Linked DNA regions of Xenopus tropicalis. The main gene of each other region encodes a partner of the protein of the gene in region 2 in a complex. Links are inferred from orthologs where the notes say so. Each region holds a gene or a part of one and is shown on either strand. Other genes may lie near its edges.

Evidence for each region.
Region 1: mybl2 (region 2) and rbl2 share a complex: the UniProt entries of both Homo sapiens proteins name them as parts of the DREAM complex. The link is inferred for Xenopus tropicalis from reciprocal best matches to the Homo sapiens genes MYBL2 and RBL2.
Region 3: mybl2 (region 2) and e2f4 share a complex: the UniProt entries of both Homo sapiens proteins name them as parts of the DREAM complex. The link is inferred for Xenopus tropicalis from reciprocal best matches to the Homo sapiens genes MYBL2 and E2F4.
Region 4: the proteins of mybl2 (region 2) and lin9 are in contact, whole or in part, in a crystal structure (PDB 6C48), measured with the Homo sapiens proteins. The link is inferred for Xenopus tropicalis from reciprocal best matches to the Homo sapiens genes MYBL2 and LIN9. Residues at the interface, in NP_002457.1 of Homo sapiens: Trp663, Ala667, Cys668, Gly669, Gln674, Met677, Gln678, Ala681, Arg682, Leu684, Leu685, Arg687; in NP_001353174.1 of Homo sapiens: Lys356, Gln385, Arg386, Tyr388, Ala389, Thr390, Val392, Leu393, Leu395, Glu396, Asn399, Leu402, Asn403, Leu406.

Annotation. Positions count from the first base shown.
Region 1 is NC_030680.2:49,459,098-49,466,998, forward strand, and holds the start of rbl2 (retinoblastoma-like protein 2), read right to left. Parts: upstream 4,215-7,901; 5' UTR 3,990-4,214; coding exon 3,831-3,989; intron 1-3,830. UniProt on the Homo sapiens protein: Key regulator of entry into cell division. Directly involved in heterochromatin formation by maintaining overall chromatin structure and, in particular, that of constitutive heterochromatin by stabilizing histone methylation.
Region 2 is NC_030686.2:39,922,130-39,930,138, reverse strand, and holds the start of mybl2 (myb-related protein B), read right to left. Parts: upstream 4,448-8,009; 5' UTR 4,307-4,447; coding exon 4,287-4,306; intron 2,112-4,286; coding exon 2,018-2,111; intron 1,728-2,017; coding exon 1,656-1,727; intron 850-1,655; coding exon 757-849; intron 600-756; coding exon 379-599; intron 1-378. Other genes in the region: uncharacterized protein LOC733539, read left to right, coding at 6,775-7,581. UniProt on the Homo sapiens protein: Transcription factor involved in the regulation of cell survival, proliferation, and differentiation. Transactivates the expression of the CLU gene.
Region 3 is NC_030680.2:76,509,507-76,516,251, forward strand, and holds the end of e2f4 (transcription factor E2F4), read right to left. Parts: intron 5,520-6,745; coding exon 5,475-5,519; intron 3,894-5,474; coding exon 3,781-3,893; 3' UTR 3,120-3,780; downstream 1-3,119. UniProt on the Homo sapiens protein: Transcription activator that binds DNA cooperatively with DP proteins through the E2 recognition site, 5'-TTTC[CG]CGC-3' found in the promoter region of a number of genes whose products are involved in cell cycle regulation or in DNA replication.
Region 4 is NC_030681.2:8,013,158-8,021,255, reverse strand, and holds the start of lin9 (protein lin-9 homolog), read right to left. Parts: upstream 4,489-8,098; 5' UTR 4,302-4,488; coding exon 4,211-4,301; intron 494-4,210; coding exon 461-493; intron 1-460. Other genes in the region: parp1 (poly [ADP-ribose] polymerase 1), read right to left, coding at 7,738-7,828. UniProt on the Homo sapiens protein: Acts as a tumor suppressor. Inhibits DNA synthesis. Its ability to inhibit oncogenic transformation is mediated through its association with RB1. Plays a role in the expression of genes required for the G1/S transition.

The DNA.
Region 1 (7,901 bases), on a different chromosome or scaffold from region 2:
ATTTGCCGTATTTATCTCACACAATTTTTTTCATGCAATGGCAAATCACCCTAAATAACAACCCCAGGTGTCTAGTGGACAGTGTGATGCCCAATATGCATAGATATACCAAAGTCTGTGGTATACTGACCCCAAAATGAAAATTATGCATATGGATTTCTCGCCTGCCAACTCAGCTTTTGCATACAGAGCCCCATGACAGTGTATTATGTGCCGTAAGACCCCCTTATTATACAGAAACCTTTGAAAACCATATATATTTAGAAAGTACACATTCTGAAAAATCTAACGTGGGTAAAGACACATTTCTACACCAAAGTACCAATCTGCAAAGCTTTCCTAAATTAGCATTTTTATGACATTTCTGAAAATCGCCTAAAAATGGTGCAATTTGCAACATTTCTTACATACAAAGGTAAACCCACCAATTATGAATGCCAAAGGTCTACTGAATAGTTTGCCCAATATGCATAGGTTTACCAAAGTACGTGATTATGTATGGACCCCTAATAAAAGTAATGCATATTAATTTTTTCACTTGCCAACTCAGCTCCTGCAAACAGAGGCCCCGACTGCATATTATGTGCCATAACACCCTAAAACTGTACAGAAAACCCCAGAAAACCATATATTTTTGAAAAGTACACATTCTAACAAATCAAACACGGGTAAGGACATCTTTCTACACCAAACTACCAAACCACAAAGCTTTCCTAAACTTAGCGGTTTTGATGACATTTCTGAAAATCACCTAAAAATGTTGCAATTGACCACATTTATCTCACACAATTTTTTACATACAATGATAAATCATCCTAAATATGAACACCAGGGGTCTACTAAACAATTTAATGCCCAATATTCATAAATTTACCAAAGTATGTGGTTATGTATGGACCCCAAATAAAAGTAGTGCATATGAATTTTTTCACCTGCCAAGTCAGCTTCTGAAAACAGAGCCCCTGACTGCATATCATGTGCCATAAGATCGCCTAACTATATAAAGAGACACTCAGAAAACCATATATTTTTAAAAAGTAAACATTCTTACAAATCCGAAACAGGTAAAGACGTCTTTCTACAGCAAATGGCAAAGCTAAAAAGAATGCTAAAAGAAATGCAACAAACAACAATGAAAGGGTAAAAGTCAAAAAATGAAATACAATTAGGCAAATCAGTGACATAACAAAACTATTTTACAGCATGGTTAGCGGTCAGAATACCTGATCCAATGGTCACGCTGTGAAATAAATATTTTTAGGGGAAAGACAAAATAATAAAATAAGGAACTAAAAAAAAACAAAAACGTGTGTCTGTATACACCTCTAAAAAGTGTGTGTATGTGTGTATATGAAGTGTGGAAATATGTGCAAAAGATAAAAAAAAAGCAAAAAAAAAAAAAAAAAGCTACCTTTTTAGTGAGGAGGGTCCTTTCAAACGATGAGGGTCCCTAGATTGCAGGGCGGACTCAGGGAGGTAGTAGGAAGAAGCTCTAACAGCAGACACGAGTGCGACCGTTTCTGGTGGTAGAAGTCGGGCCCTCCAACAATCGCGTCACAAGACTGACTTGGCTCGTTACCTAGAGGTTTGGGCCCTTGAACGTATGTGATATATGCTTGGCAGTCAAAGGCTTTTTCTGCAACATGTATCACATACATGCTTGGCAGGAAAAGCGTAAAACCTTACATATGTTTCTTGTAAATCCTTATTTCCAAGCAGTGCTGAGTCCCCTGGGCAACCTGGTTGGCTTGGCCCGCCTTATCCCCCACGTGGGCGCGCGTGCACACACAGGGTGGCGGGGTTGCCGGGGCCACTGGCGGGGGGGTACTACAGTAGGGGGGGGAAAGGGCCCGGAACTAGTGGTTGGTGAAAGAAATACCACCTGCCTGGCGCGGCCACACCGTTGCGCCATAGGCAGGTGCCTCTTCTGCCTACCCATGCTTCCAAGTACCTTCAGTTCCTGAAATCTCTCCATCCCCACCTTCCATTTGATTGATAGAGAGTGTACTGTCTGTAAAAAGAGCTGCCCTCTGATTGGAGAAGCTGCAAGCAAAAAAATCCAATCAGAGTGCAGCTGGTAACAATGGTATCGGACCTTGCAGGAATGCAAAGAGCTTTCCACTTTTTAATTTAGGTGCCAGACAGGTTTGGAAAGGGTTAGCCTTCCCTAGACTTAATGAAAATCTACCCATTGATTTATCTAGGGTTGAACTGGGCGGCCGGGGCACCAGGAACAAACCTGGTGAGCCCCTGCGGCCCCAACCCGATCCCCGCAGGGTGCGCCACAAATCCTCCGGTCTCCCTTCCCTGATGCGCTGCAGGTAAGTTTAATTTACAGTTACTTACTAGTGAAAAAGTATTCCATCCCACATTTGAATTTGTAGGTTTATTGGTGATGGCGCACAAAAGGAGGGATATGTACAAAACAAACTCATAAGAATTAAGAGGGAACTATAGATCTGCATAAAATAGTACTATACTATATCTGAACTATACCTAGTTCAGATTAACACAAAATATTTTCAAGGTATCATATTTCTTTTAAAAAAGGAAGAATATACAGCACTTCTCTGCTTTAGTTACTTGGATACAGTGTTAGAATATAAATAACACAGTCTGCAAGAGCCCTAGTAATTAAACAGCTGAATTGCTAAGGTCCACATATCTCCAAGGAGACTGCATTAAGCTGCTCCTCATCACAACCAAAACAAACAGCAGCCATCAAGTCAAAGCTGCTAATATACAGCATGTTAATATATATATATACAGGTAGCATAACTCCAAGTTTAAGTTAGCTGGTATAATGATCTGCACTACGCTCAGTTAGATGAGAATACAGTAAGTAAGCACTCCATATAGCTTGTCAAAAGGATGTGAAAATAACTAGGCAGATTTCTCAGCTTATAAAACACAGAAATTCAGAGTTGTGCAACTACTGTAAATACCGTGTTAATCATTTTTAATTATCTTCCACAAAAAAAAAAATCAGAAAGATGTTAATTATTGTACACATCCTCCAACAGCCTCATGTGTCAGTCCCTCCCTGAACCTTTAGATCTGTGATCCCCAACCAGTGGCTCGTGCGCAACATGTTGCTACCCAACCCCTTGAATGTTGCTCCCAGTGGCCTCAAAGCAGGTGCTCATTTTTGTATTTCTGGTTTGGAGGCAAGTTTTGGTTGCATAAAAACCCAGTATAATGCCAAACAGAGTCTCCTATAGGCTGCCAGTCCACAGAGGGGGCTATTAAGTAGCCAACCATAGCTCTTATTTGCACCCCCAGGAACCTTTCGTCATGCTTGTGTTGCTCCCCAACACTTTTTCCATTTGAATGTGGCACACAGGTAAAAAAGGTTGGGGATCCCTACTTTAGATTGTAAGCTCATGCAATCAGTTCCTTCTTGTCTCCTGCCCCGCAAGGCACTTTTTTGTTACCGTTTTGTACTTATTAGCGATCAGAATAAAGTCATAGCTATGACAGACTACTGCACTCCACGTCCATTTCATCCCTTCCCGTATCTGATAAGGAGCTGTAACACATGCAGCATAGGCATCCAGGTGAAATGCTAAATAATGTGAAATAAACTAAAAAAAAGCAATGAAAATATTTTCTGGGATGCAAAAACCTCCACAGCGCACTACTACAGTTATTTGCTAATAAGCCAAAGCTTGCAGCGACGCTGTTTGTTTTTTTTCCAGTCCAGTTGTTACTGTACTACCATACCCAGCATGCCCTGTAGCGGAGACTGGGAGAGCAGAGTAGCACCAACAGCAGTAGGAGGGCCGCAGGTCAGGCATTCATCAAGCCCATGAAAAAATAGAATTTCTCACCTCTAGAGTATAATTCTGGCTAATCCTACTGTAATACTCCCAGGCCTCCCCCCGGGCCCTCTCATCCATATTAAGGCTGCTGCAGAGTTCGTCATAGCGGCAGCGCAGCTGTTCTTCTGCCTGCTTGCCTTCCCCTTCTTCTTCTTCCTCCTTGATCATCCTCAGACCTTCCAGTTGCCCGGCTATGTCCCCTCCGCCACCCGAACGGTGCACTTCCACATCTCACACTGCGCAGCCATTTAAATGGCAATGACTGACAGCAACGCTTTGATATTCTCGTCACCAATTAGAAAGGCCTACTAGCGTAGGACACTGTTCTTCTAATATAGATGGGGAAAATGCGTAGCGTAGCCCCGCCCAAAACAACACAGAGGTCGGCCTTTTCCTTTCCTTATCGCTGCCGATTGAGATACTTGCTAGTTCCTGCTAGTCTCTTACTCTGTTCATAAACAACATAGCAGCATCCGCCGCCCTATTCTGTTAGTACGCGTGCGTTATGTTCCTTCCTGAAAAGAAAGTTTTAGTTCAACTAAGCCCCACTGTTCCTATATGTAAATACTTTCTTTGGAGGAGGAGGCCATCCTGCTTTTACGCTTTCTAAACTAACACTCACGTTTTCCTATATGGGCTGTGTCATCTTTACTTCACAGGGGGTCCAAAATGAGTGAACAAATCGACTTGAAGGAATGTCACAGTATCAATGGCAATTACGGGGGACCCAGCCCTTTATGAACATATCCAGTAATTTGTATGATTCATAAAAAAGAAAATAATTTAGAAATGCAATGCAATGTTTGCATTTAGGACATAACATGTTTTACCAACATTCACATCTTAAATGCTATGGGGATCATAATAAGTAAAAAAAATTACAGGAATTCATATATTCGTCTTTCTCTATTAATAACGTTGGCATCAAGCATAATTTATTACTGGGAAGGCGGGTAAAACACTGGACAGGTGGCAACCCTAGTCAACAGGCCCGGATTTACAAAGAGGGTGCACCCTAGACCCCCGTCTCTGCAGTCATGTGCATGCCCACTTCTATAGTCAGTGCGTGGGGCATTTCTCTAGTCCTTCAGTCCAAATTTAGAAGCAGCAGCTGGTCTGCATGTTGCCCTAGGCCCTGGCCTTTGTATAAATCCAGATCTGCTACTCAGTACTTTTCACTTATCTGAGGGGGGGGGAGCTGGAGGAAGTCGCTGCGGTGGGGGAAAGCTGAGGGGAGCCAGAGGAAGTTGCTGGGGGGGAGCTGGAGGAAGTCGCTGGGGGCGAGTTGGAGGAAGTTACTGGGGGTGGAGCAGAAGGACAATGGGGGTGAGCTGTGCACATGCAGCGGGGAGCCACAGGAAGTTGCTGGGGGGGAGCTGGAGGATTCTGATGGGAGCTGGGGGTAGCCGGAGGATGCTTGGGGGGGGAGCTGGAGGATGCTGGGAAGGACTCTGGGGGGGAGCTGGAGTATGATGTGGGGGTGAGCTGGAGGATGCAGGGGGGCCCTGGCTACCAATGTTTTAGGGGGGCCCTGGCTACCAATGTCTGTGTGTCCTTTGTACTAATGGGAGGGAGCATTGGGGGGCAGGGCGTGAGAGGAGGGGGGCCCCGTGATTTCTGATGGCAGCCCTGAGTGTATGTACATGCCTGTCATGGGATTTTATTTGTAAAATTGGATAACTTTACATTTATTGGTACAATGACTTACAGCAAGGGACCAGATACATCAAAAAATGAAAGCACTGAATATAATACATTTTTACTGTAGAATAATATTAATAGGAAAGTGAATGCCTAAAATACTTATTAAGCATGTCACATTTACACAACAACCTTACTCAAACATAAATGGTCAGTACATTAATGGAATGATGATGGTCTCTTGACATATGTCGGTGCCAATGGCGGACCTAAGCCTGAGGGCACACCAAGGTAAGCAGCCACCCCAAACATGCCCCCCGTTTACCTGACCCAAGGGTTCAGACGTCTGAAACTATGGGAAGACAGGGAGAAGAGGTAGGTGCTTGCACCCCCCATTTTTGCATCCTAGGCACATGCCTCTTCTGCCTGCCCCTAGTCAGGCCCTGGTTGGTGCTTTAAATAATTATTTTAGGGTTGGTACATCATAAACCACTGAGGGTACAAATTCTGGAACGCTGAAAGGTCCTGGCTGGCCCAACCTTTAAATACAAATAAGTTCATGCACTCTACAAATTATACTTATTAAGCATTGTTTATGTGCTTTTTATATTATGCATTTTAGTTGCCGCAGACTTTCAATAAAATATTTTACTGTATATTCATGCTGCATATAACCTTTAACACAATCACCATACCTTGAGCCATCACCTTAGTAGTGGAAGTTTTAGATTAGTAAGATGCACATCATCAATTATCACCCTGTGCTGGTAAAAGTTGTATGTTGCCTACTTCATTCGGCAACATATTATAGATTTTAAGGCAATGTGATACACTGCCTGATGATACACTATTTGTGACACTTGATGTGTGTAATTTGTACACCATTATCCCTCTGGACGAGGGGATTACAGCATGCAGGGAGGCACTTATTGATGGACACAAGGGGTCTCCGCCAATTGAATTTTTGTGCTCTCTGTTGCAGTTGGTCTTGACATGTAACTATTTCAGAGTTTTTACCTACAGCGGACTGGCACGGCGATGGGCTCCAATGTGGCCCCCTCATACGCCAATCTATATATGAACTCCTTTGAATGTAAATATATCTATCCTAGATATGCAGACAATTTGTTGCTATACCGTAGGTACATTGACGATATGTTCATTATTTGGCGTGGGGACCAGATTGGGGTCGAATCGTTCGTGGCCACCCTGAATGATTTACCTACTCCAGTAAGGTTTACTTTAAATCAGTCAAAAGATGTGATTGATTTTCTTGATGTTAGGATTTTCCGTACACCTGTGGGGGTGGGGACCACATTGTTCCGTAAGAACACGGATCGGAACACTGTTTTGCATGCCCATAGCTTCCATCCACCTATGGTGATTAAATCTATTCCTTACACTCAATTCTTGAGAGTATTCAGGATTAATACGGATCCCGTAACTGCACTTCAAACAAGCTAATGAGATGCGGGACAGATTTCTTGAGAGGGGATACTCTATTGACTTTTTGAATGCTGAATTGAATAAGGCAAAAGAAAATCTACTTAAAGATGATCCTAGGGGCACACGGCCAGGAGACCAATCGGATCGGATGGTATTTGTGAGTGACTTCACACCGGTAAGCCATGATGTTGAAATGGCTATTAAAAATCATTGGCCAATTTTACAATTGGATTCTGGTTTGCCCTTTACTAACATGCCACCTCCAGTGTGTGCATATCGACGTGGACGTTCACTTCGTGACATACTGGTGACATACTGGTGACATAATGGTGACAGATTTAAAACCGGAGATACCAGACACATGGCTAAGGAAGAGTAAACCTGGTTGCTATCGATGTGGTAATTGCAAAACTTGTGGTTGTCTGATCACCGCAGTGACATTTGCTCATCCACACTCCGGGAAAAAGTATCTGATTAGACATAGACTGACATGTATTTCGGAATATGTGATATACTGCATTATGTGCCCTTGTGGCCTTTACTATATCGGTAAATGCTTCACAGCTTTTCGTACAAGAATGAATAATCACAGGTCGGTGATTCGTCTGGCCCTGGCATCTGGGAAATCAGATATTCCACTGGCCCGACACTTTGTACAGTGCAAACATTCACTGCCTATGCTGAGAGCAATATTGATTGATCATATTCCCCCCCTTGCACGGGGTGGAGATAGATCCAAGCTACTGCTGCAGAGGGAGGCCCAATGGATCCGGAGACTTGACACAATTGCCCCTAGGGGATTAAATGAGATGCTATCATTATCTTGTTTTATATAAACTGACTGTTGTGTCCCTGGGTATTTCCTATATGATGGCCTTATGACCAATCTTTTTAGATAGGATTGGTTTATGTCAGTGCTGTCCAACTTCTGTTGTACCGAGGGCCGGAATTTTTCCGACCTACGTGGTGGAGGGCCGATAATGGAAGCCCGTT
Region 2 (8,009 bases):
CATGTTGCTCCCCAAACCCCTTGGATGTTGCTCTCAGTGCCCCCAAACCAGGTAGTTATTTTTGAATTCCTGACTTGGGGGCAAGTTTTGATTGAATAAAAACAAGGTTTACTACCAAATAAAGCCCCCTGTAAGCTGATGTGTGCATAAAGGCTGCCTAATAGCCAATCACAGCCCTTATTTTGCACCTCCATGAACTTTTGATGCTTGTGTTGCTTCCCAAGTCTTTTTACATTTGACTTGGCTCACGAGTAAGAAAGGTTGGGGATCCCTGCTGTATAAGATGCTATGCATAGTATGGCCACGTTTGCACTGTTTAGACAGCCTGAACAGTTGAAGTAAAGAGGAGTTTAACAGGCAAAGGTGGGTTTCTCTTACCTCCCAGGAAGCAGCTTTGCTATTTCAGCCCAGCGATTTCCCAATACTTTATGGGCTTGGCATATAATTCTGTCCTCTTCCTCTGTCCATGAGGACTTTTTCACTTCTGGATTGAGGTGATTGTGCCATCGTTCGCGGCACTGTTTGCCCATGCGGCCTTTGAGCTGCTTAGCAATCAGGGTCCAGTGTTTGGTGCCATACTTCTTCACTAATTCTATCACCTAGAAAGAATTATCAGAGGTAGACAAAGTTCAACGTAAGCCACAAGGATGTTGAGCTCACAGCATCCCTCCAAAGACTACAAAAGAATTGTAGTTTATCAGGGCTGCCACACCAATAATAATATGTATTCCCCTATTCAGATACCTCACTTCATACCTTCTCATCTTCCTCTTTTGTCCATGGACCCTTAACCAAGTCAGGATGAAGAACACGAAGCCAGCGGTGCTGACATTGTTGTTCAGTACGATTCTGGAGGAAAAACAAAAATGTAAACACCTTACTAAAACATTAAGACTAAGGAACAAAAAGACAGTGCTTATTGTACTAAACCTTTGCTCACACCAAGTAGTGCCATCCGATGTCTAACAGCGCTGAAAGGGCATAAACACCTCTCCATTAAGCCATAAGATTTCTGGGTTCTATTTTCCCTTATGGGGAAAGGCATAACCAGCATATACCCTAATATGGAATTAAGATGTATAAAAGGGGGTAGTAATGGAAATAAATGTTAACAAGAAATAGGGAGTTTTAAGTGTACATAGACTAGCTCGTCATCAGTTCAGAAAGTGTCCCCTGATCAAAACAGCCATAAAACCATTGTAGGCCAAAGGTAACATCTGCCCAGGGCCAGCAAATCAGATATACTTTAACAGCAGAAGACCTACTTTATATGAGGTTTTTATCCTATTGGTGTATGTTGAAGACACCAACTGACATTTCACACATTTTTGCCTAGATGTCAGCCCTAATGCAGTCGTGCACCAAAAGAATCACAAGCTGATGCTGCTTTAATGCCCAGTGCCAGAACCGATGCAGTTCCCATGACTTGCACTTGATTTTTATATGCGCAATTGCTTTAGCTTTGTCATGTTGGGACAAATGCAGTGGCTACAACTCCCAGCGCTGTTACAGTTGTGTAGGGATTCCAGCAAAAAGCTGCATTGCGGATAAAAACCAAATAGGAAAATTGCACTTGCTCACTAAGCTGCGTTTCTATAAGACTTATAAAGCATGGTGAAATGTAAGATTTACACTGAAGGGATGATGGAACTTACAGTAAGGTTACTGGCAATCACCTTCCATTCACTCTGTCCATGCTTCTTCACCAAGGCTTTTAGCGTCTCATCCTAATGAAACAGAACAAAATGGAAACAATAATTAATACCTTACTGGGGGAAACACGGACGGGAGCAATTTTTACGCATGACCTAATACTGGGGAGTGACATCCCTGTACTATTTTATGTAAATAGTATCACCAACATATAAGACCCCCAGAGGATGACAGAGATGTCAGTCACAGTAAGAAGTCCAAAGACCAGCACTGGAGGGACAGAAGGGTTCTCATCCAGCCCTAGGCAAGAGATAAGGACTCTGGATTGTATTGCTCTAGCAATACATCTAATTGCATACTGTACCTCTTCTGGGGTCCACTTCACTTTGACCCTGCTTTCCTTTGGCTCCGGGACATCAGAGTCTGTGTCCTGATATTGCAAATCCTCAAGATCATCTCTGTATGGGTTAAAGAAAAAATTATTATTAGTATTTAGTCAACATGCAACAGTGTCCCAGAAATAAGCACAGGTTCAGCATATGGAAAGAGGCAGCATTACTCAAAGCACCCAGGGAATAGGGTGTCTGTTAATCTAGCAAAACAAGGATTAAAAAAAAAAAAAAAAAAAACCAGGGTGCCATGAGGGTGGCCACTACTCCAAATGCGAAGGTCGAACTTTCCAGCAACCCCTCTCCAGCTTGCTTTTGGAGATATCACATAGGGGCTGGGTCAACTAGAAAGGGGGGTGGGGTGGAATTCAGCTTGGGAAAGCAAAGGATCCTACATGTGGCACATAGCTGGGACAGAACACAAGGTTACAGGCAGAAACATGAACAAAAAAAAAAAAAAAAAAAAAAGAGAAAACTGTGCACTAGGGAAGTCATCCTTGGGTTTTACTTAAGCGTCTGATAAGTGCATTATATTTCTGTAAATGCAGTCAATGTAGGTGGGTTGCAAAGGGGAGAAGTGTGAAGGTGGGGGAGGGAGTTGTAATCAGCATGACATCCTGAGGCACCTTTACACAAAAAGTGTAGTGTTCCTAGATATACAAGAAAGAAATTACTAAGAATCTAAGGAAATATGGCCGACAAAAACTTCTTTCTCTTTAAGAAGGGTTATAAATGAGGAGCAGAGACAGGCAAACAAGCACAGGGAGGCTGCAGAACGTGGCGCTCAGCTGGAATGGAGCACTGAGAGAGCAGGGACAAACCCAGCTGGAGAGTCACAAGTTAACCTCCTGGCGCAATAAGACAAAAGCCAAAACAAAAGGGGTCGTTGGGGGCCAGCTGTGCACAAACATAGCATTACTGAAGGTCTGAGAAGTACTGGGAAATGTGGGAAGCACAGGGAGAGAAATATGGGGTAGTAGGGCAGATATGCATGCCCTGAAGTGTATGGAAAGCCAAAGGAAAACTCTCAGAGGGAGGACAGTGGAAGCTTCATAGGAAAGTGCAAATGGGGGTGGGGGAGAGCGGACAATGGGGCAATGCACGGAAGCCCACTCGGGGTGGACATGGAAAGTCCTTATGGGGAGACAGAACAAGGGAAGTAAAGAGAAGGCTAGAAAGATAATAGACAAAAACAAGGGTTGGCAATACTAGCTGGGGAGAGAGCTGAGGGGGCAACAGTGATGGGCAGCTGGGGAGAGAGGTGAGGGGTGACAGTGATGGGCAGCTGGGGGAGTACAGGGAAGGGCAGACTGGGGAGAGAGCTGGGGGGTAGAGGGAAGGGCAGACTGGGGAGAGAGCTGAGGGGGTAGAGGGAAGGGGAGACCGGGGAAAGAGCTGAGGGGGTACAGGGAAGGGGAGACCGGGGAAAGAGCTGAGGGGGTACAGGGAAGGGGAGACCGGGGAGAGAGCTGGGGGGTAGAGGGAAGGGCAGACTGGGGAGAGAGCTGGGGGGTAGAGGGAAGGGCAGACTGGGGAGAGAGCTGGGGGGTAGAGGGAAGGGCAGACTGGGGAGAGAGCTGGGGGGTAGAGGGAAGGGCAGACTGGGGAGAGAGCTGAGGGGGTAGAGGGAAGGGGAGACTGGGGAGAGAGCTGGGGGGTAGAGGGAAGGGCAGACTGGGGAGAGAGCTGGGGGGTAGAGGGAAGGGGAGACTGGGGAGAGAGCAAAGAGCCCAGCTGTGGAGAGAGAAGCAGTAGAATAGTTTAGCTATAGTTTAGGCATGTGGAACCGACAGAGAAGCCCAACTAGACAGGAAAGTCCAGAATGGGGGAAGTTAGTAAATCCAGAGAAGGCCAATAGGTGAGAGCCCGGCAAGGCCAGGGCAGAGGCAAGGCCAGGGCAGAGGCAAGGCCAGGGCAGAGGCAAGGCCAGGGCAGAGGCAAGGCCAGGGCAGAGGCAAGGCCAGGGCAGAGGCCAGGGCAGGGGCAAGGCCAGGGCAGGTGCCAGGGCAGAGGCAAGGCCAGGGCAGAGGCAAGGCCAGGGCAGAGGCAAGGCCAGGGCAGAGGCAAGGCCAGGGTAAGGGCGATAACACAGGGCAGGGAGGAGGCGCAGAACTGAAAGCGCAAAGCAGACGCCCAGTGACTGGCACCTACTCAAAAGTAGTAAGAAAAGGCCGCCGGGTTCTAAAGTAGTAGCTGTGCCCGTATGTGCAGCCCCACTGCCCCACCCGTTAGTGCCAGGCTCACCCGCGGGCCCGCCGGGACATCCTGCCGCTCCGGACACTTCAGTGCGCAGTCTGTGGCGGTATTGTTATTTCCTATCTCCCGCCAGCTGCGCACGCACCCACAGAACTCCCTTTCCGGGGCGGAACCCACTCCCTGGGCGGGGCCTACAGCCCATACGGAGGCGCTCTAGGTGCCTGTCACTTCTATATGTGGGGAGGGCCATGCGTCCGGTTTTAACCAATGAACAGCAAGCGCACTGATGTCAGCGATTTCCCGGCGACCAATCAAAGCTAGAAATGAGGGACAGCTTCTGGCGCCTATTACGTTTTGTAACAACCCGAGTGACAGAGGATTCTAAAAATTTCCAGACTAGACAGTCATTTCCTCTTAGTTTTGGCGACGGTAGCGTTAAGCCATGCATTTTAAGTGGGGTTTACGCTGACATCACCACCTCAGATTTGCTATGAGTGTATAGGTTTTTGAACATTAAATTTGAACTGCTGCCTGGTTACTAGAATGGGAGTTCCCTAGCAACAAACATAGAAGTATAATAATAATAATGAAATGGAACCTTCACAGTCAGTCTGTTTTTCAGTTACCTAGGTAACCTTGACAACTAAGCAATTGCAGGCTGGAAAAAAAATAGAATGGAAATATAAATAAAACAAAAAAAACCTGAAATGTTTATTAGGTACTTCTACAGGACTGCCATTGGCTGGCTACAAGTGGTATTGCTGAGGGGGGGTGGGGTATGTGCTCAAATATAACCTCTCCTGAACCCAGTCTGAGCAGCATGGCTTAGGAGTGACTGCCCAGTAGTGGAAAGAACCCTCAGTAAAGGCAGAAATTATATCACTTTCCCTTCCACCCTCTGCAACTGGGAACAGGGGGAGCAAAATGGAACTTCTATATGAGAGAGAAGACTGGGGGAAACCATAACTGAGATGGAGGAAGGTTATAAAGTAGACAGTGAAGATAAATGGAGAGGTGTTAGGTTAGGAAGACGTTATGGGGGTACAGCAGGGATGTCTCTATAACAAATACAAATTTAATGTAACAGTTAACATTCCCTTGAAACATGGCTCTCACATTCCTCAGTATCCAGCATCCCTATGAGCTGGTCTGGCCTAACAACTACAAGTGAGGAATGGGATAATTGGATAATGGGTGGGGTCACAAGGCGAGATTGATTGGCTACTTAACCTCCTAAAACACTATATAAAAGGCTACTTGCCTGGAAGCCAGAATAAATCATTTAGAGGAAATCTATCAGGGAAGGTAAGTGGCTGCACAAAGGGAATCAAGTTGGTGGTGTGTCGCGTAATTGTTACTAGGGCTTAGTACAAACCCATATTGTGTTGCTGTGTGAAGGTGCTGGCATGTTTAGTAATTTAACCATTTTGTTGGCCAGGTGATTAACAGAGACATAGATAGGTGCTGAGATGCTTGCCATTCATTTGAATGCCAGTTGGCTGTTGTATGCACAAATGGCTTTGGAAGCTGAGATGTTTTATATGTTTTCCTTTGTCTGTTTTGGGTAAACTTTGTTGTTCTTTGTTTAATATGTTGGAGGCAAAAATACATGTTGGAATATTTGACTTTCATCAAGCAATATGCTGTTTGAGGGGACCAGGACTGGGATACAAAATATGTTCCAAGTACATAGAGACCCAAACAGCCCCCTTATGGCATCTTACAGCAGCCCCACATTTGTCTGGATCTACAAATTACCAGTCTGCGCCTGGACTGGCCTGTGACTTCCCAATAGTAAAACTACTACAACAACATAGACTTACTCACATTCCCTGTTCTGCAACCCTACAACAGGCATCCCTTGCAACATTTCCCATTTAAAGAATAGTAACAACCTGCTACACCTGCAGTGATTTTTCACACTTGGGAGTATTGTGTGTTGTTATCCTAACTGCCCTAAGCCAATTCTAACTAATTGAATGCTGTGGGATAGTTGGCAAAGCCCTACAGGGAGTGCTTATATACAAATCTCTTAATCATATGTCCTTTTTAGAGGTGTATAATAGTGGGATTACTGGAGCCTGGTTCCTTCTGGCTTCCAACTGTTATCCCAGCCTACTATCCGTAATAAATATTACAATAACTCTCCAGACCTAATCTATTAGACTTGGCTTTCCTGCTATTGTTAGTTTGCCCTTGATTGCTACTCATTAGATATAAGAGTGGCTTTACAGAGTGCTATGTCTTTTTAGTATGAATGAACAATTAAGTGAGAGCTTTGGCCATTCGCACATCTGCTATGACCCCACTGAGGTGCCAAGATAAATGATAGATCGTAGGACAGTCTCTTAATGCCCTCAGGGTTGTGGCTTGTGCCCAAATGGATACCTGCTGTACCAAATATGTTCATGTGTGCTCCCCTATCATAAGTTACTTAAGCATGGGTTTCCTCTAATTCTTGGTTTCAAAAATAAAATATGGTATCTAATATCCTACTGCTTTTTCTTAATTGATAGGTTTGAGAGAAGCCTAAAAGATGTCTATCAGCTGGGACAGCAGTGGTATCAGTTTCCTTATGTCCAGCTCCAACCTCACATTGACCGAGATCATGGACTTGGGATTTGTGGCCACAGCTCAGAGTAGCTCTTCTCCTTGTTCCTCGGGGATTGAACTGTTGGATCAAAGAACCCGTCCCAAGCCCGGTGGGTCACCATTCCTGCTTAAGGTTTCGGAGTCTAGCCCTCTTGTAGGTGGAGAGAAGCAGCGAATGACTGTTGAGGAAATCGTGCCCTGCCTCAGCAGGTCTCCATTCCCACCACCTGACGGTCAGGTGTTTGAACTGTCTGCTTTAGCCCCAGAACCACTAAGTAACTCTATTGTTGGGGTATTCTATGGTGCAAAAGTGTCAACACCCTATAAGGAAGAGGCCACTGATGCAATATGCGTGGACATCCAAGTACCTAAACTGCAAGATTCAGAGATGGTGGTCCAGGCTGTTGGGGTGCAGAAGCCTTCTGTACCACCAATATGGGAGCTCTCTGAGATCAACTCTGCTTTAGAGGAGAACACTCCAACTCTGGATGTTTCTGTCTCTGACTTGAGGTTTACAAGTAGCTCTGACCGAGACCAACCTTCAAATCCACAGGTTCCAGCTTCTCAATGTACCCAGTGGGTTGGGGTCACTCATAAGGATGTGGGGCGCTCCTTTTTACAGCCATTCCGCTACCAGCGCCAGCTTAGTGCCTCTGAAATCCCAGTTACCTCAAATACCCCCTTGCTCCATTCCTTCCATCTGTCTGCCGATGAGGTCGGAGGGGAGTGGCATCTGGAGGTGACCACCTAATCCTTGTTTTGACTCTTAATATCACTTGCTTGTTCTGCAGACAAACCTTGTAAACTTCCAGAATATTTCTGATTGCCACGTGCTGTTCAATACATTACTTCTCATGACTATTTTCTTATCTATCTGTACAGGACTTTGTATGTTATATAAATAAAGAATAATCTATTCAAGCAGTTTTGTTTGCTTTTACTCGGCACTAAGTCCTATTGTTCTGTTTAATTCCTGGGTCTCGGTGCATTACTGCTACACATTAGAGGTACAGCGAGATCCAACCTAAAGTCTGCAAAACACTGCTAAAGGCTAAGTTCACCTTACATGTTTTAATGACCTTGCAGTGCCCATAACTGCTTTTACCTGGGTTTGTTGCTGGTATTTCTCAAGCAACGTTATGGCTAGAAGCTTGTCTATACTTGATCTGTTGGGCTCCT
Region 3 (6,745 bases), on a different chromosome or scaffold from region 2:
ATAACACCTTGTGTCTCCCCATTATGCTCCCCATGATTGCATGAATTTCTCCTGTTATGTCTGTATTGCTTTAAAGTTTGCTTCTGACCCCCCCCATCATTACTTGAACTCTCTTGAATTTTTTACATCACCCCATTACTCCTCCCTGCCAACTTTTTCCCTCTGCAGCTGTCCTCTTATTTTTTTTTGTATGCACAGCGTACCCTAGTCCTCCACAGTGCTTTAGTCTTTCAGGGAGGAAAGGGCTTTAAGTAAACAGCACAAATTAACTTCACTGCCCATATGCAGATCACCTTTCACTGCTGGCAGATAAGGAAGAGTTTTGCTTTTTTCAATGCTTATTTACCTAAGCTCACATTGACTGCATTCTCTGCATTTCCAGACTGGTAGGACCATGCAGCAAGCACAGCAAAACCATGCAAATTCTGCTAGAATTGTCACAAAAGGAAAGTGAATCTGTGTAAAACAAAGATAAAGCACTTTCTCTCTACTAGCAATGAGCTCTTTCTAAATGAAAAGTAAATCTGACAAAGCAAAGATAAAGAACGTTATTTCTTCTAGCAATGAGATCTTTCTGACCTTTTGGAGTAAAGCCCATGCCTCAGTTCATTACTCATTCAGACCATAAGATGCAAACATTTGTTTATCCAAGGATAAAAATTTGTCTCATGGTACAAAAAAAAATATTTGTTTTTTTTTGTGCATTACTACTTGAGTAACCATGATTGCTGTGATAAGGTAGTGTGAACCTTATTAAACATATAATATGTACATGAATAAGCATGTCAAGTATTTTCATGTGGCAATTTTTAAGGAGCCGGATGCCAAGGAAAATACCGGCAGAAGCGATGGGACACATGAAATAAAGACCTTTTCATTTCAAGAACTACTCTCAGAATCCACAGCTACAAGTTGTCATTTGTATCATCCACTGCTTGTGGCTGCAAAGGCTTTTTCATGGTTAATAGCAGTAAGTAGCAGGAAGGAGGGTATACAGTGGTGTGAAAAACTATATCCTGATTTCTTATTCTTTTGCATGTTTGTCACACTTAAATGTTTCTGCTCATCAAAAACCGTTAACTGTTAGTCAAAGATAACATAATTGAACACAAAATGCAGTTTTTAAATGAAGGTTTACGTTATTAAGGGAGAAAAAAAACTCCAAATCTACATGGCCCTGTGTGAAAAAGTGATTGCCCCCCTTGTTAAAAAATAACTTAACTGTGGTTTATCACACCTGAGTTCAATTTCTGTAGTCACCCCCAGGCCTGATTACTGCCACACCTGTTTCAATCAAGAAATCACTTAAATAGGAGCTACCTGACACAGAGAAGTAGACCAAAAGCTAGACATCATGCCAAGATCCAAAGAAATTCAGGAACAAATGAGAACAAAAGTAACTGAGATCTATCAGTCTGGTAAAGGTTATAAAGCCATTTCTAAAGCTTTGGGACTCCAGCAAACCACAGTGAGAGCCATTATCCACAAATGGCAAAAACATGGAACAGTGGTGAACCTTCCCAGGAGTGGCCGGCCGACCAAAATTACCCCAAGAGCGCAGAGACAACTCATCCGAGAGGCCACAAAAGACCCCAGGACAACATCTAAAGAACTGCAGGCCTCACTTGCCTCAATTAAGGTCAGTGTTCACGACTCCACCATAAGAAAGAGACTGGGCAAAAACAGCCTGCATGGCAGATTTCCAAGGCGCAAACCACTTTTAAGCAAAAAGAACATTATGGCTCGTCTCAATTTTGCTAAAAAACATCTCAATGATTGCCAAGACTTTTGAGAAAATACCTTGTGGACCGACGAGACAAAAGTTGAACTTTTTGGAAGGTGCGTGTCCTGTTACATCTGGCGTAAAAGTAACACAGCATTTCAGAAAAAGAACATCATATCAACAGTAAAATATGGTGGTGGTATTGTGATGGTCTGGGGTTGTTTTGCTGCTTCAGGACCTGGAAGGCTTGCTGTGATAGATGGAACCATGAATTCTACTGTCCACCAAAAAATCCTGAAGGAGAATGTCCGGCCATCTGTTCGTCAACTCAAGCTGAAGCGATCTTGGGTGCTGCAGCAGGACAATGACCCAAAACACACCAGCAAATCCACCTCTGAATGGCTGAAGAAAAACAAAATGAAGACTTTGGAGTGGCCTAGTCAAAGTCCTGACCTGAATCCTATTGAGATGTTGTGGCATGACCTTAAAAAGGCGGTTCATGCTAGAAAACCCTCAAATAAAGCTGAATTACAACAATTCTGCAAAGATGAGTGGGCCAAAATTCCTCCAGAGCGCTGTAAAAGACTCGTTGCAAGTTAACCCAAACACTTGATTGCAGTTATTGCTGCTAAGGGTGGCCCAACCAGTTATTAGGTTCAGGGGGCAATTACTTTTTCACACAGGGCCATGTAGGTTTGGATTTTTTTTCTCCCTAAATAATAAAAACCCTCATTTAAAAACTGCATTTTGTGTTTACTTGTGTTATCTTTGACTAATAGTTAAATGTGTTTGATGATCAGAAACATTTTGTGTGACAAACATGCAAAAGAATAAGAAATCAAGAAATAGTTTTTCACACCACTGTAAATATCTCCTATCATACAGAGGAGGTGATGGCCAAGGAACTCCTTTTGCAGAAAGTATATTCCTTACCTTGATTACTGACACTGGAATTACATTATATATATTATATATTTGCAGTATATTAAATAAAATCAATTTAAATCAACATAGACTAAGTCCTAATATTCTACTTAAACGTTGGACTGAGATCCAGGTGGAGCAGCACTGGTATTAAAAACAAGGAGATCTCTGTCTGGGAGAAACAACATATCTCCATGGTACCATGTCACCTAACATATTACAAATATATGAAAGCTATGTGCAAAGGAAAATGCCAATCTTAACGTATATTCGGTCATAGAAGTGACTATAAATAGGTAACTCTTTACACTATAATATTCTTTCTAAAGCACAAGTTTATAATATAATTCAATTCCATACAACTCCAGTGCCAGCAATCATTGTGTATCATTTGGACTAAAATGGACTGCACAGCTTTTGTATTGAATCTCACCACTTTCACCCCAACAAAGTCACACAGCTGCTCTGGGTGTTTGTTTTTACATCCCTAAAGTGCTACTGGCAAATACGGGTTTATTTTGTAGAAAACAAAAATTACAAATAGTTCATGTGGCGCAGCAAATGTATGTAGAAAAATAATTTCATATCAACATCTTCTTTCATTTAGGTAAATTAGCTAGACAGTGACTGGCAGCGATTTGGCAGTGAGTGAGGTCAGAGCATAATAAAAGACAACCAAGCTTATTTTTTACGGTTACTGCATGGAAAACCATTTGTTTATGGAGGATGGTACTGCACACCTACTATATTATTGGACAGACTTAAGAACTTCTAAGCCCAAATACTGAGGCACACTCAGCCAAAAATCCAAATATTATGTACTTCAGCAAAAATGTTAAGTGCTTGAAATTTGTGAAAAGCTTCTGTCAGATGTAGTAATGGACTTAATAAAGCTGGATCAATACAGACAACCTCTATGAAGGGTTTGCCAAGCAGTCCTCTCATCACAGGGATGGAAAAGTTATGAGCGGATTCTCACAGTGAGAGGAGTTAAGTGTCTTTTTGCACTGCAATGTCTCTGGTATGGTTTCCGTAACAACTCACGCGGATATCCAAAAATAGAAACATTTCTTCATAAAAGACAACAAAAAAGTTCTTATTCACAAATAAGGCCCAAAGCCGAGTTCAAAATATCAGAGGTTGATGGGTACATCAAAGAGGTCACAAACTCCTTCACTTTCATCTAAATTATAGACATAGTCGTGATCACCAGGAGGAGGAGAAAGTCTGAGCAGAGGAGCAAAAACTGAAAAAAAAAAAAAAATCATGAGTATTTTCAAGCATAAGCAGGTGCCCACATACAGGGCCAGCAGTGGTATCAGTCATAAGTGCTTCTGATATGATTTATATAGAGAGACTGTATCTTAATACAAATCTATACCTATACAACCAACATCATTCTACATACCAACACTAAGGGGCACATTAACAAAGGCATGAACGCTCAGAGCGTTTTTTCGCTGAATTTTTTGGGCGTCCGCACGATTTTGTCGTACGCCGCACGACTTTTCCCCATACGCTTGCACGAAAAAACTGGAAAGGTTTTACCGCTGTTTAAAATTGTACGGTACGCACATTTTGTGACCAATACGAAATTATCGTGACTAATACAATTTTTTCGTAAGCATTTTCGTGATATTTGCGATCTTCAGAAATTTTCGTTTCCAATCCGAATTTTTCCCATTTGGGATTCGAACTCGTGATTTGATAAATCTGCCCCTAAGGGGCAAGTTTATCAAAATGTGAGTTTACCACAGAAAAAACTCATTCACTTTCTATTCATTCACTGATAAACACACTTTTAAAAATCACAGTAATTTTTTCAGTGGTAAACTTTAATCTCACATTTTGATAAACCTGCCCCTAAGTGCCATGGCAGACAGGGAGATTAGTCGCCCGCGGCGTCACGTATGCCATCCCACTGGTGATTTACATTCAAGTCAGTGGAGATGGCATATCTGGGAGATTAGTTGCCCGCGACTAATCTCCCCATCTGCCACGGCTCTTAGAATATGCAATTTAAAGAGCCAATTACACCAAAAACGTTAATTATTTGACTAGAAGAACTGCTTATTTATATAATATGTATAATAAATCTTTACTTTAAGCAAAAGTTCAAGTTTTATTGCAGCATGTTTGCTATCAGCTCTGCAGTGGTCATCCATTATTTAGCTGTCCGGCCTGCATTTACAGCCTCTTGGCTCCAATCTGCTCTATAGTGTGTTTGCAGCTGCAGACAATACTTTTGGCCTGGGTGCAAACACAAGAAGCTGATTAGGCAGTAAATGCATAGTGATGCGTTTCTGCACTAAAATACGCTGGGGGTCATTTCACCACTGGGCAAATTTGCTTGTGGGCAGTAACCTATGGCAACCAATCAAACTGCTGCATTCATTGTTCTACCTGCAGCTGGCTAAAAAAAAGCCAATAACTGACTGCTATAGGTTTCAGTGCCCAGAGTTGATAAACAAACTGCAGTGTGTCTGCAGAGAGCGGAGGGACTGTTTCTGTGCCTGTGCTTATATGCATGCTGAGAAACTGCTGTATATGGCAGTAGCCTTAGCACCACAGAGCACAGATACTTGAGAGTAAGGGCACACCATAGCAGACATTAGATCCTTACATTATTCTGTGAAAATGTACTTACTGCAAGCTAATACTTATATGGACACATACAAACGGCACACTGGTTTATGCTTAAAAGCCATGCCTTTAGATAAATCATGGCACAATGCTTTTTTTTTTTTTGCTTCTTTTAATGGGATTTTAACAAAAAAATCTTTTAGGAAAACATAAAAGAAACTATGCCTTGAACAGTGATACTCACCTTCCGAGGACATTAATTCTTCCAACAAGTCTGAAGTGATGCATTCTGGGAGGGAACAAAGTTATTTTGACAAAATTCTTCAATAATATGACAAGTACATTATATATGAAGTCTGTAAAACATGGATGCACTAATGATTTACTTCTTTTCATTATAAGTAGCCCTGTACTTCTTTTTAAAGGGTTAAAGAGTATGTGTATGCAAATAAAATGATTGCACATTATATAACTTAAACATATATTTTAGGTGCAGAGCCAAATATCTTGCAGTGACCATTATTTCACTTAGTAGAAGTTTGTAAGTAGGAGCGGTCATATTTATTTCCTTGGCTAAGCAGCATCACAAGCAGCAATACAGACAGAGTGAATGTTACATGCATTTAATAAGTCATGCCCTCAGATAAACCATGGTCTGCCTATATACAGTAAAACAGTAATTGTGTCAATGTTCAGGGACAAACCACAATATTTCTAAGCATTCATTTTTAGCTCACTGTGAGATGAATATTCCTGTTACATATTTGCTTCTCCACACAGATGAAATGTGCCTTACTGCTCACCTCAGCTGAGTTAGTCTCCTTCGGCAGCAACTGAACGTTACATATATAGGGTTGCTTGTGCCCCCATGCCACCTGAAGCTGCCCCACTTTATCTATATTGTATCAAGTACAGATTCCACTCTCCACACTAGAAGAGTAAAATTTCCAGTATAAAGTATGGAGTTTCTGCTCTTAAAGGGAAACGAAAGTCAAAGTCACTTGGGGGTGCCAAAATGTTAGGCACCCCCAAGTGACTTTAACCGCTTACCTCGTACCCCGGGCTGGTGCCCCTGTTAGGAGAAAACAGCACCAGCCCGGGGCACCTGGAGCGCAGCGCTTCCGTCTTCCTCGCTTCCTTTTCCTGAGTGCCAGCGGTGGGCGCATGCGCAGTAGAGTGAAAAGCCGACTTTAACATTTAAGTTCGGCTTTTCACTCTACTGCGCATGCGCGCGCAGCGAATCAGGAAAAGGAAGCGCCGGCAGCTACCCCGGGCTGGTGCTGTTCCTTCCTCACAGGGGCACCAGCCCGGGGTAAAAGGTAGGCGGTCAAAGTCACTTGGGGGTGCCTAACATTTTGGCACCCCCAAGTGACTTTGACTTTATTTTTCCTTTAAGGTGAAGACACGGAGCTACTAGTAGCAGCTACTAAAATAGACTATTTCCTAAGGAAAAGTATTTTCTGGAGTTTAGTAGTTGTGAAAAAGTAGCTGCTATTAGTAGCTCGGTGTGTCTTC
Region 4 (8,098 bases), on a different chromosome or scaffold from region 2:
CCCATACTGTACTGTCTAAGGGAAACACTATGGCACCTCCTACCCATATGTATAAATACAAATATACAGAGAAGGAATGTTCTGGGCACACAATAAGCTGTACCCCCATACTGTACTGTCTAAAGGAAACACTATGGCACCTCCTACCCATATGTATAAATACAAATATACAGAGAAGGAATGTTCTGGGCACACAATAAGCTGTACCCCCATACTGTACTGTCTAAGGGAAACACTATGGCACCCCCTACCCATATGTATAAATACAAATATACAGAGAAGGAATGTTCTGGGCACACAATAAGCTGTACCCCCATACTGTACTGTCTAAGGGAAACACTATGGCACCCCCTACCCATATGTATAAATACAAACATACAGGACAGTGGGAGACCAGGAACCCCCGCCTCCGGAGACATTCTCTGCAGTAGGGATATGAAGAGACCAATCATTCTCTTACCTTTCAAACTGACCAGCGCTTTGGCAGAGGAATCTGAAACAAAGAAAATGAAGAATTGTCTGACTTCAGGCAGATTTAATCTAATCAGCTCATCTATCTGTAGAAGTAACATGTAAGTCTGATGAGGGGGGTTTAAAGGGGAACTTAACCCACAAACTGTTTTTGGCAAAAAAAGTAATTCAAAGCAACTTCCCAATATCCCAATATCAATTGCACTGATATATATATATGCTTAAAACTAACAAAAAGTCATCATTAATATATATATAAGAAACTTGCATAGATTTTTATATCCTTTTCATTTCCACCACAGCCTGGTTGCTAAGGTAAACTGTATCCCCAGCAACCACTTAGCTGCTGAAAAAAAGACCAACTGCAAATTGTCTCATCGTACTGAAAGTTAGGCTACAGAGTGGGAAAATCCGGCTACGGGTTCTGGTCCTACAATGGCAACCTGTCACTCAGTATTTCAAAGGGTCAGTTGCAAGTGCCCCCATGTTCCTATTGGTTTGCAGGGCTCTGGGCCCCGGGGGATGAAGATAAACACAGGGATACAATGGTGTGAGTGAGATATACCCCGCTGTGATTGGCTGAGCCCTAGCAACAGACTGCAGGGCTGGACCATTACTGTGTAACCAACACAAACCCTGCCCTGGGCAACAAGAGAATCTGTGTCTTTTGCACTGACTGGGAAGGTGGCCCTTACAGTAAGTACTGGGGGCCCCATAGCCCAGTGACTAGGAAGAAGGTGGCCCTTACAGATAGTACTAGGGATAGGCTGAGGGCCCCCCAGTGACTGCCATTAGGGGGAAGGCTGGGGCCCCCCAGTGACTGCCATTAGGGGGGGAAGGCTGGGGCCCCCCAGTGACTGCCATTAGGGGGGGAAGGCTGGGGCCCCCCAGTGACTGCCATTAGGGGGGGAAGGCTGGGGCCCCCCAGTGACTGCCATTAGGGGGGGAAGGCTGGGGCCCCCCAGTGACTGCCATTAGGGGGGGGAAGGCTGGGGCCCCCCAGTGACTGCCATTAGGGGGGGAAGGCTGGGGCCCCCCAGTGACTGCCATTAGGGGGGGAAGGCTGGGGCCCCCCAGTGACTGCCATTAGGGGGGGAAGGCTGGGGCCCCCCAGTGACTGCCATTAGGGGGGGAAGGCTGGGGCCCCCCAGTGACTGCCATTAGGGGGGAAGGCTGGGGCCCCCCAGTGACTGCCATTAGGGGGGAGGCTGGGGCCCCAGGACCCTAGGGGGCTGGGGCCCCCAGTGACTGCCATTAGGGGGGGAAGGCTGGGGCCCCCCAGTGACTGCCATTAGGGGGGGAAGGCTGGGGCCCCCCAGTGACTGCCATTAGGGGGGAAGGCTGGGGCCCCCCAGTGACTGCCATTAGGGGGGGAAGGCTGGGGCCCCCCAGTGACTGCCATTAGGGGGGGAAGGCTGGGGCCCCCCAGTGACTGCCATTAGGGGGGGAAGGCTGGGGGCCCCCCAGTGACTGCCATTAGGGGGGGAAGGCTGGGGCCCCCCAGTGACTGCCATTAGGGGGGGGAAGGCTGGGGCCCCCCAGTGACTGCCATTAGGGGGGGGAAGGCTGGGGCCCCCCAGTGACTGCCATTAGGGGGGGGAAGGCTGGGGCCCCCCAGTGACTGCCATTAGGGGGGGGAAGGCTGGGGCCCCCCAGTGACTGCCATTAGGGGGGGGAAGGCTGGGGCCCCCCAGTGACTGCCATTAGGGGGGGGAAGGCTGGGCCCCCAGTGACTGCCATTAGGGGGGGAAGGCTGGGGCCCCCCAGTGACTGCCATTAGGGGGGGGAAGGCTGGGGCCCCCCAGTGACTGCCATTAGGGGGGGAAGGCTGGGGCCCCCCAGTGACTGCCATTAGGGGGGGGAAGGCTGGGGCCCCCCAGTGACTGCCATTAGGGGGGGAAGGCTGGGGGCCCCCCAGTGACTGCCATTAGGGGGAAGGCTGGGGCCCCCCAGTGACTGCCATTAGGGGGAAGGCTGGGGCCCCCCAGTGGACTGCCATTAGGGGGAAGGCTGGGGCCCCCCAGTGACTGCCATTAGGGGGAAGGCTGGGGCCCCCCAGTGACTGCCATTAGGGGGAAGGCTGGGGCCCCCCAGTGACTGCCATTAGGGGGAAGGCTGGGGCCCCCCAGTGACTGCCATTAGGGGGAAGGCTGGGGCCCCCCAGTGACTGCCATTAGGGGGAAGGCTGGGGCCCCCCAGTGACTGCCATTAGGGGGAAGGCTGGGGCCCCCCAGTGACTGCCATTAGGGGGAAGGCTGGGGCCCCCCAGTGACTGCCATTAGGGGGAAGGCTGGGGCCCCCAGTGACTGCCATTAGGGGGAAGGCTGGGGCCCCCCAGTGACTGCCATTAGGGGGAAGGCTGGGGCCCCCCAGTGACTGCCATTAGGGGGAAGGCTGGGGCCCCCCAGTGACTGCCATTAGGGGGAAGGCTGGGGCCCCCAGTGACTGCCATTAGGGGGAAGGCTGGGGCCCCCCAGTGACTGCCATTAGGGGAAGGCTGGGGCCCCCCAGTGACTGCCATTAGGGGAAGGCTGGGGCCCCCCAGTGACTGCCATTAGGGGAAGGCTGGGGCCCCCCAGTGACTGCCATTAGGGGGGAGGCTGGGGCCCCCCAGTGACTGCCATTAGGGGGAAGGCTGGGCCCCCCAGTGACTGCCATTAGGGGAAGGCTGGGGCCCCCCAGTGACTGCCATTAGGGGAAGGCTGGGGCTCCCCAGTGACTGCCATTAGGGGGAAGGCTGGGGCCCCCCAGTGACTGCCATTAGGGGAAGGCTGGGGCTCCCCAGTGACTGCCATTAGGGGGAAGGCTGGGGCCCCCCAGTGACTGCCATTAGGGGGAAGGCGGGGCCCCCCAGTGACTGCCATTAGGGGGAAGGCTGGGGCCCCCCAGTGACTGCCATTAGGGGAAGGCTGGGCCCCCCAGTGACTGCCATTAGGGGAAGGCTGGGCCCCCCAGTGACTGCCATTAGGGGAAGGCTGGGGCCCCCCAGTGACTGCCATTAGGGGAAGGCTGGGCCCCCCAGTGACTGCCATTAGGGGAAGGCTGGGGCCCCCCAGTGACTGCCATTAGGGGAAGGCTGGGGCTCCCCAGTGACTGCCATTAGGGGGAAGGCTGGGCCCCCCAGTGACTGCCATTAGGGGAAGGCTGGGGCCCCCCAGTGACTGCCATTAGGGGAAGGCTGGGGCTCCCCAGTGACTGCCATTAGGGGGAAGGCTGGGGCCCCCCAGTGACTGCCATTAGGGGGAAGGCTGGGGCCCCCCAGTGACTGCCATTAGGGGGAAGGCTGGGCCCCCCAGTGACTGCCATTAGGGGGAAGGCTGGGGCCCCCCAGTGACTGCCATTAGGGGAAGGCTGGGGGCCCCCCAGTGACTGCCATTAGGGGAAGGCTGGGCCCCCCAGTGACTGCCATTAGGGGAAGGCTGGGGCCCCCCAGTGACTGCCATTAGGGGAAGGCTGGGGCCCCCCAGTGACTGCCATTAGGGGAAGGCTGGGCCCCCCAGTGACTGCCATTAGGGGGAAGGCTGGGGGCCCATAACACAGGGAACCCAGGGGCAGGGATATGAGAGTAAGGGACACACACAGCAGGGCGCTGGGAGAAGACAGGGCTGCTGGGACCGGGGGCCCCTGTATAATAACCACCAGCGAATAGAAGGGCCACTCGCACCCCGAGTTCCCGGCAGCCTGCCCGCTCCCTATGGAGCCTTCACCCCGCTACTGACAGGAGCAGCCCGGCTCTCACCTTCTTCCTCTGCCAGCAGCTCCAGCGGCCGAGCCTCTTCCGCCTCATTCCCGGGCCCGGCGGGGCTCCTGACCGATTTCATGCGCTTCATGGCGGCCTCCCAGGGACTCAAGGGCTGGGGAAGCCTCCGCTCGGTTTGAACTCCCCTCTCTGCGCCGCCATTCGGGCTCCGGATCGCGTTGCTGGGCGAGAACGTGACGTCAGTGACAAACAGTGCGTGCGCGTACCCGCCTCAGGCGCCATTTTGTGCGCGGCCAAGAAATCTTACAGGCGCGCCCCCTTCATAGTAACGGGACGGGGTTGCACCGCCGGGTATAGCGGCTCTCACAGGGGCTTTATGTGGGATGGTGGGACCTGTAGTTCGTTAAAAGTGAGGCTTGAAGCTGTTTCTGGACTACAAGTCCCATCATCCCACAGTGGTTGTGTCCCTGAGAGGGGGCTGTGGGGATTCTGTGGAGCATTATTGCTGGAACGCTACTGGCGCTCTGGTATTTACAGTAAAACTCACATTTACATTCCCCGAGGGGTTCCTTATAATATATAGTGAATAAAGTACCCCCTATTGTAACATATAGGGATATTATAAGCCCCCGAGGAGTTCCTTATAATATATAGTGAATAAAGTGCCCCCTATTGTAACATATAGGGATATTATAAGCCCCCGAGGGGTTCCTTATAATATATAGTGAATAAAGTACCCCCTATTGTAACATATAGGGATATTATAAGCCCCAGAGGAGTTCCTTATAATATATAGTGAATAAAGTACCCCCTATTGTAACATATAGGGATATTATAAGCCCCCGAGGAGTTCCTTATAATATATAGTGAATAAAGTGCCCCCTATTGTAACATATAGGGATATTATAAGCCCCAGAGGAGTTCCTTATAATATATAGTGAATAAAGTACCCCCTATTGTAACATATAGGGATATTATAAGCCCCCGAGGAGTTCCTTATAATATATAGTGAATAAAGTGCCCCCTATTGTAACATATAGGGATATTATAAGCCCCCGAGGAATTCCTTATAATATATAGTGAATAAAGTACCCCCTATTGTAACATATAGGGATATTATAAGCCCCAGAGGAGTTCCTTATAATATATAGTGAATAAAGTGCCCCCTATTGTAACATATAGGGATATTATAAGCCCCCGAGGGGTTCCTTATAATATATAGTGAATAAAGTGCCCCCTATTGTAACATATAGGGATATTATAAGCCCCCGAGGAGTTCCTTATAATATATAGTGAATAAAGTGCCCCCTATTGTAACATATAGGGATATTATAAGTTCGCAAGGGGTTACTTATAATATATAGCGAATAAAGTACCCCCTATTGTAACATATAGGGATATTATTGTACAAGTCATGGAACTCCCAAGGTGACTTCTAATATCCCCATATTTTACCACAGAGGATACTTTTTTTTATTATAATATACAAGTTTTAGTGAGTTGTGGCAGAAATTGCATCACTAAGCTCCCATAGGGAAATTACCAAACGGTATATTATATAATAATACTGCCACAGATGAGCTAGTCAGGTTGTATTTTGCCAGATGTTGGTCAGCAATGGACCCATGAGAGCAACACCTGAGTCAGACACCCCTGATATTCTAACAGCCCTGTACCTTGCCAAACGCACCCACATAGTAGGGCAGGGTGATCAAAGTCAGCCAAACTGTCTGGCTAAATATGTAATAGTGATTGCAAAGTTTAATCCAATAGATACTAGGCCGACGTGCATCGTCGCTACACAGATTTTCACACCTCCCCAAAGACGAAGGGTAAGACACATGTTGAAGCTGATGCAGGCTTTATCTGGACATTGCAATAGTCCAAAAACACAAGGGTTTTCCCTTGGTGCCAGTACAATATCCACATTAACCAGCCGCCATTGTCTCTCAAATTCCTCTTCTTTGCCATATCTAAAGGTGGTCGTACATGGACTGAGTCTGCACCTTACTGGCCCATATATGGGGCCGGCTGATGGGCCTGTCTGACCTATATCCGGCGTGTATGATTTTCCAGTCAGGACGAGGACCACATTGGCACATTGATGCGGGAATGTCCCAGACAGTCATTGGCAGCAATTATGATCTGGTCTTTGGCCCAAAGGCCAAGCAATCTGCAAAGTTTTCTCCACATTAAAAGGGTTGTTCACCTTTACGTTAACTTTTAGTACATTTTAGAAAGCCCAGTTCTAAGCAACTTCTCAATTGGTTTCATATTTATTATAGTTTCAAATGACGTGCCTTTTAACTCTTTCCAACTTTCAAGTGGGGGTCACTGACCCCGGCAGCCAAAAAACAATTGCTCTGTGAGGCTATCATTTTATGGTTACTTTTTATTACTTATTTTTCTATTCCAGTCCTCCCTATAAAAATATCAGTCTCTCATTCAAACCACTCCCTGGTTACTAAGGAAATGTGAACCTTAGCAACCAGATAACTGCTGAAATTCCAAATGGGATACACGGAAGAATAAATGATGGGCACCTTCTTTAAAGGGGGACATATTGTATGAAAAACAATTTCATTATATATATGTGTGTGTGTTTCAGGCTGATTTATTGACAATTTCTCCAAAAACCCCAAGTCCTGGCCATCAGTTCCACTTCCTTCTGCCTCATTCCCAAGCTGTGGTTATGGAAGAGCTAAAGGTGTTAATGTGACAAAAAGTAACGTGATTGTAAGGATTTCGGTTCAGTTGGCCAGGAGCATGGATTCAGCCAAATCTGAATTCTGCCGAAAAAGGCTGGAATATTATATTTATATATAGATATATAAATATATCTATATATAAATACAAAATACTCAAGAAAGAACTTAAAGAGACCGTTTCCATTTAGTTTAGCTGCCAGTCTGGAGTGACCCAAATAACAACAGAAGACAGACGGAGAAGAATGGCAGACGGAGCGCATTTATTGGAACATCCACATATCTATGGGATAACGTTACAGAGATATGTCTGTAGGTTACAGTATTGATCCTTACGGTCACATCTTGCCCTATAGCATAACAGTCACATAACAGTGAGCTATCCCTGCGCAACACTATACAGTATGTGTAGCCTACACATAGCGCACGTTAAAGGGGAAATAAAGGCAACTATCAGTACTGAATATAAACATTCATCTTTTGATAGTGTCACGGTTTAACTTTTATTAAACCTGAAAATAAAGGGTTAACATCTGGAAGAATTCTGGAAGAACAATCGGAACGTAAAGACGGCATCTCCAAAAAGCCCTCAAAAAATCAGTAACAGGCGGCCTTCAGGGTCATCTCGTTGTGCACTTGGCATTCAGAAAAGCAAGCAGCAGCCATAGGCCTTTCCATCACACAGCAGCGGCATAGGCAGAGGTACGGGGTGGCGCTATTTTGGCCACAGCCAACAGGTTGCCCATTGGGCTTTAGGAGTCAGTTTCAGGGATGGGCCAGCATGTCCTGGGGAGGATTAATAGAATGCAAGTGAGAGCACTAAGTCAGTTCTAAGTCGTTTCTACTCTGCAGGCAGGGCCATCACCAAAGCAACCCTCCTTTGTCTTTGTAGTTGAACTTCAGCTTCAGCAGGTACTTCAGGTTAACCTGAGCAACATCATACACAATGTATCTGGGGGGGAAGGTGGTTAAGGAAACACACACTTAAAATGAAAACTATCCCCCCAAACAATGTAGGTCTCTATACAAATATACTGCATAAACAGCTCATATGTAAAACCCTGCTTCATCTAAATAAACCATTTTCATATCAATATACTTATTTAGCAGTATGTGCCATTGGGTAATCCTAAATAGGTAACTGCCATTTTATGTACTAAGGGCCGCCCCCTGGGATCATAGGAGTCACAGTGCACACAAACAAGCCAAGGCACACATACAT